Coturnix japonica: one gene and its partner. The protein of the gene in region 1 purifies or fractionates together with the protein of each later gene. This does not show direct contact. Links are inferred from orthologs where the notes say so. Each region holds a gene or a part of one and is shown on either strand. Other genes may lie near its edges.

Region 1 (2,645 bases):
TTGAAGTTGCTTATGCAGCAGATAATGCAGCAAAGGAGGGTGACAAACCCAGAGGAGAAAAAAGTGCCATCTCGACCTCTGTTAAAAGGAGGATCTTTAAAATTGATGAGGTGGCCTCCAGGGATCCCCTAGATGATCCAGCTCTGTATTTCATGTAACCAAGGGTCCCATGTGTGTGAAGGTCTGACAGGCTTTTTTTTCAACCAGGTTATCAATTATGTGACAACAGTGTTGGAGTTCTCTTCAATGACTCCACTCGTCTCATTATGTACAATGATGGGGACAGCTTGCAGTACATTGAGCAAAACAACACCGAGTCCTACTTCACTGTGAGATCCTGCCCCTCTGCCTTGAATAAGAAGGTCAGTCCAGAGGACAGGAGCCCTTGGTGGTGGGTGGCTGTTCCTGATGAGATTTCTGCAGGTCTCGTTGAGCTTTGCTATCAGGGTGGACAGTGGGGGGGGGGAAACATCTGTTACTGGGAGTCGCATTCAGCAGGATTCCTCTTGGCTGGTAAAATGTGACCCAAAAGAGAGTTCCTGGCAGCATCTTGCTTTTTTCTAGTTGCTAACTGAAGCTCATTTCTGAGCAGCTTCACATAAATAAACTCTCATGAAGCTGACATGTGCTGAAGCATTCAGCAAAATGAGTCTTGTACTCAGACAGTGAAGTTAACTCTGGTGGTGCTTGAGAACTTGCACCAGTTTGTGCAGTGACCCCTTAAGCTCTGAAAGACATAAGTCTCAATTTGTGGTAACAGCTCCTACTCTCCCCAGATATCAGGGCTCATCCTCAGCCTGTCTGTTGACAGCCTGTTCTATTTGCAGATAACACTATTGAAATACTTCAGGAACTACATGAGCGAGCACTTGCTGAAGGCAGGTGCTAACATTACACCTCGGGAAGGAGACGAGCTGGCACGTTTACCCTACCTCTGCACGTGGTTCCGGACCCGCAGTGCCATCATCCTGCACCTCAGCAATGGCACCGTGCAGATCAACTTCTTCCAGGTGAGGCTGTTGTACTGACTTGCTGCATTCAGTGCTTTGTGGTAAGGTGGTGATTCCTGCAGGCAGTTACAACCTGAGCTGAAGCTTTGCCCTGTGAACGTAGCACTAGAAGGCTCCTTGCTCTGCTTGCTGGTATTTAAGCCATCCAGCCATTCCTAGCTCATCTAGTAGTTGTTTCCTTTAGCATGAACTTGTTTCCCTTTGCTTCACTCTATGAGTAAGAGCTTTCTTGTTGCGGCTTTTCTGCAGTGTTGTGCTTTGTCAGCATGCTGCTGGCCTGCAGTTGGGGTGACCTTGCTGTGTTGGTTCATCCGAAGGAGTGAAAAACATTGCAGAGCAATGTGCTGACCTTGTGTTCCCTCCCCCACAGGACCACACCAAAGTCATTTTGTGCCCTCTAATGGCTGCTGTCACATATATAGATGAGAAACGGGACTTCCGCACATACAAGCTGAGCCTCATTGAAGAGCATGGATGTTGCAAGGAGCTGGCCAGCCGACTACGCTATGCTCGCACCATGGTGGAGAAACTCCTCAGTTCAAAATCTGGCTCAGCCCGTGTGAAATCCTCCGTTTAGGCTTTGGTCTTGATGGAACCAACATCTGTGCCAAACCGGCTCAGCTGTGGACAGGGAAGTTTATTAGCATCCCTTGTACTGTAACTTGCCATCACACAGCTGGGTTCCTGCTTCTGGGTACACTCTGATTGCCCCCAGGGAGCCCCTGATGCTGTGGTGATGGTGCTGTGTTCACTGTGAGTGGTGCACAAAGGGGTTTCTTGCTCTTCCCAATACAAAGTGTTTTTTTAAAATTACTTATATAGTCTTTTTTTTTCCCCATCCCCTTAACTTTTCAAAGCCTAAAGCCTGACTCAAACACCAACCCTCTTGTTGGAGGTTCCTGGGCCTTCTAATGAGATAAAGCGTGGGGTTCTCCCCAGAACGATCATGTAAGTTTTGTACATGTCTGTGCATGATGCTCTGGACTTTGTTTCCTTTTGTCACAGTACAACTAATGTATTTAACCTGCCCAGGTTGAGACTGAGCAATCTGCATTTTAATACTGAACTTGTTCTACATGCAAACTAAACTTTTGTATATTGTATAACTTGATTAAAGATTGTTCTTGGGAGTGTCCAGCCTCTCTTGGTTCCTTGACAGGGAGGCAGCAGCATGTTACTTGTAGATTCCTCGTGACCTATCATCTCCACCAGCTCTTCCCACCAGCTGCTGGCTGAGCTCAGCCTTGGATTTGCTCTTTGGCAATGCCAAAAAGAAAATAGAGAAGAGCCTTGGGGCTTATTGCAGGAGGAAAGCAGTTCTATGCCTCCCCTTTTCTGTTTGATCAGAGCCTTTGATTATGTTTCATGTTGTAAGTACTTTGCTAACACTGTAGTCATGCTGGACTGCTGCAATAGTCTAGTGCTGATGGCTGGCATCTGCTGCTGTTGTACAAGTCTGGTTTAAAGCAAGACAAGCTTTTTTTTTAATTATTATTATTTTGTAACATTCTGTATAAAATGTTCTTGGCCATACAGTGTTCTGAAGATAAACCAGGTACAAATGCCTTGTTACCTACAGTAACAAGATCCCATATTCCAGCAAAAAGAGGAATGGGTCTGCACAAACCCAGCTTG
Region 2 (3,500 bases), on another chromosome or scaffold:
TGGTAGACTGCAGAGGTAGCCCTTGCCAACTTAAAAAGCAAGTATGAAAATGAGAAAGCTATGGTTACGGAGACGATGATGAAGCTGCGGAATGAGCTGAAGGCTTTGAAAGAAGACGCTGCTACCTTTTCTTCCCTGAGAGCGATGTTTGCTACAAGGTAAAGAATATCTGAACTCTGCAAAGTATGTCATTCCTTGCTTGTGTGGGGAGAACAGCTGAGCATCCTGCCACAAGCAGCAAGGCTGCCCATGCAGTCAGTGGCCGGGTGGGGTGCCCTTACCTACATTCATTGCTTACAGTGTTTGTCTGCAGTGTGTTCTTATTGACAAGGAAAATGCTAGGGTGCTGCTACAAAACAGGAATTTGATGTAGGTTATTGAAGTAATTTGAGTTACTGTCCCTGTTGGCCATTATCCCTGGCTCCTGAAGTCCTGAAAGCTGAGGGCTGACATTTATCAATGTCAAATTAGCGCTTCTTATTCAATGAAGATGTCGCTCTGCTTGACCTGGAGCAATCAAGAAAACAAACAAACAAACAAAGATGCTGGCAAACACAGATGTACGTTATTAGGTGTGTGTGTGTTCATATACATTACAAACATAAAAGGTTTTCTTTCTATCATCAGCTAAAAAGTACCACAATAAGGAACCACAAGGATGTTGGTAATGATTCCTGTGGCTTTTCTGTATCTTTCTTTTTGTGGAGGCGGTTCTGCAGCATCATGAATGTGCCCTGAGTGACCACAGGCTTCCTGGTGATTCTGTCTTTCTCAGCAATATCTTTGTATATGAGTAAGCATGAAAAGGCAAAATGTAAACTAAGGAAGCTGAAGATGGAGTTGTAGCACCTCATTATGTTGGAGAAAGCAAAGCCCTGCACAGCATGCTTTTGTCCTGCTCTCCTTTTTTGGAGTGTGATCTAACATGCAGAAATTGCAATCTCTTTGTAGCTTTGTAACCGCAGTATAAAGCTTTTTAGCTTTAATAGCTTGAAGATAAGAGGAAAGGAAAAAATATACTACTGGCTTTCAGTTTTTTATCCTAGATGCAGACAGCCAGCTGCCTGTGTTTTCCTACATGTTAATTGTGCTGCCTCAGTGCTTTAGTGTGATTGTGATTTGGAGAGGAAGATTTGTCAGAAACAGCAGAGGAATCATTCTTTCCCTGCCTTATTTTGGTGTGCTGTCATCTGGAGGTCGATTTTGTCCTTTTACTGGAAAGGATTCCATAGCATATGAGGAAGGCAGAATAGAAGTTCTCTGTAAGGGTGAGTTCATCTCAGTACTATTAATCATATAAAAACAAGACTTATCTGCTACTGCAAACAGCTAATGGAACACCTACTAAGTACCGTCAGTCTCATTCCTGCTCTGGCCAAGAGGTTCCTATCAGCAGAGATGAGTAACAAGTGGTGGGTCCCTTAGCCCACCATACCATTTTATGTTTGACCGTGGGATGAGGCAGACAGCTGCATACACCTCTATTTTCCACAGGAAACAACCGTTTTGTAGGATACAAGAGAACTGAAACAATACATGTGAGTTGAAGATTGGGCGTGAATAGAATAACTGACCTAATTTCCTTTCCAAACTAGAGTAATCCTACTAATGTGACAATACTGCCAGCTATTTTTAATAAGTAATGAAAATGCAGTGAGACCTGAGGCTGGAGACAAAGGAAGGCTTGCAAAACACAGATTAATGGCTTCCAGCATTAAAGGAGCTATTGAGAAACTGTTGGGGCATTCTAGACAACACCGGAAGCCTAAAATTAAGCTGTCACACGAAGGAATAAATCAAGATATGCACAATGTACTGTGGAAGTGCATTCAGTAGCTGAGTCCAGATTTTCTTAATCAACACACCTCTCCCTGCTGTACGTACCAATGGGCTGAAAGCACTGGGGGCTGGGTTCAAATCTGCCTGGAAATGGAATTTACCTGCTTAATGAGACTGTAACAGCTCTTGCAGTCACCATATTGCAGAATAGATTGCAGTTAATGAAGATGCAATCATTTCTCTGTTAAAAAACTCAAAGAGAAGTTGAACTTTGGTTTTTTTGTATAGTGTTGAGAGGAATGGAGAGTTCAGGATTAGGTCTTCATCTTTCGCTACCCCCTTCAGTGAGGACCTGAGAAAAATGTCCTGCCTGGGGATGATAGCTTAGGAATTGCTTCTACTCTAGTGGCATAAAATCATTAGTTTCGTCTTCTAAAATAGGTCTAAACAACAAAAAAGAAGATTTTCTTTTGAATTCTAGAAGCGGGAATTTGCCATAAAAGTTTATGATCTGTCCTTGAGTGTTTTTATCAGTGGAAGTTCAGAGCGACTGCAGTACCCAGCTGTGTGGGGCTGACTGTTCCCTCTCTGTGCAGGGCACAATCCTTCCCACATGTTTGAAATTATAAGAGATTTATAGTTTGATTAATTCCTTTAATAGCTTTTACTAATGGACATTGATTACACATGGCTGATTGTAAACAATTTAGAAAACAAACTATAGCTGCTTATAAATTATACTATGTTTATAGTGCAGATGTCATAGACACTTATAAATGCAATAGCATTTATTATTTTCATTACACAACTCAGATGAGTTTTTAAAGCATGGAGTTGCAAGTGAGCAGCTGGCTGAAGTTCCACCAGACCTGCTTCTACCTGCTTACCTATCACCCTAAGCTGGCTGACCCTGAGCTGTTCTGTCCTTTTGTGGTGAGATGGTGACAAGTCTTTATTTAAACCTTGGCCTTCCAGTTAACAATCTAAATTGCATTCATTGTAAACCTTGTCCTCAGTCCTGGTCCTTGCAGTATCCGTGGAACTCATCTGCATCTGCCACCATCACAGAGCAGAAGGCTGCTATTGGAGGGGGAAGGTGAAGGAAAGAAGGTGTTAAAATTCAGTCTTTAATATTAATTTCTAACATAAAGAATGAGTTTGGAAGCAGGTGGCTAATATCCCTTACAGCTGAACTCGGTCAGTATTCATTTACATGTCATTTTAACTGCTGCTCTACTAACACGTTTCCATATTTTAAGGAAGATGAAAAACAGGGAGTTTAAATCTTCTGTGCCCTGATTTCTTACGTAGGCTGACAGCTTAATCTCTCCATGTAGAAGTGGGAGCAGTCGATGCTCTGGAAGCCTCCTTCAGTCACACCTCAGTCTTACTTGCTTGGAAATGGTGTTGTGGGCCTCACACTGACTGCAGGGGAGGGGTGGGAGGTTTAATTATATCCAGGTGCATTTGGTTACATCACTTATTTGCAGAACGATCTTGAGTCAGTAGTGAGTTCAGCTATAAATGGGACCACGTGCCGAGGTTTAAAGAAGGTAATAAGTAGGAATAAGGAAAAACTGGCACTGATCAGAGGTAGTGATGTGCAGCCTTTTCCTGTGGTAATATTTAATGTTCAGGACTCTTATTTCCACTGTGTAGGTATTTGTTTTTGTAGTTGGTTGTTTTTAGAATCAAGCGAGTGTTTCCTTAAAGTCTTCGTT

The links.
Region 2: the proteins of PLK1 (region 1) and BICD2 purify together in Homo sapiens (affinity purification with mass spectrometry; 6 studies listed by BioGRID and IntAct, counting the BioPlex papers as one, with this or other methods). This does not show direct contact. The link is inferred for Coturnix japonica from reciprocal best matches to the Homo sapiens genes PLK1 and BICD2.

The regions. Positions count from the first base shown.
Region 1 is NC_029529.1:6,814,039-6,816,683, forward strand, and holds the end of PLK1 (serine/threonine-protein kinase PLK1), read left to right. Parts: intron 1-207; coding exon 208-362; intron 363-827; coding exon 828-1,010; intron 1,011-1,380; coding exon 1,381-1,587; 3' UTR 1,588-2,145; downstream 2,146-2,645. UniProt on the Homo sapiens protein: Serine/threonine-protein kinase that performs several important functions throughout M phase of the cell cycle, including the regulation of centrosome maturation and spindle assembly, the removal of cohesins from chromosome arms, the inactivation of anaphase-promoting complex/cyclosome (APC/C) inhibitors, and the regulation of mitotic exit and cytokinesis.
Region 2 is NC_029527.1:4,843,338-4,846,837, reverse strand, and holds part of BICD2 (protein bicaudal D homolog 2), read left to right. Parts: intron 1-6; coding exon 7-158; intron 159-3,500. UniProt on the Homo sapiens protein: Acts as an adapter protein linking the dynein motor complex to various cargos and converts dynein from a non-processive to a highly processive motor in the presence of dynactin.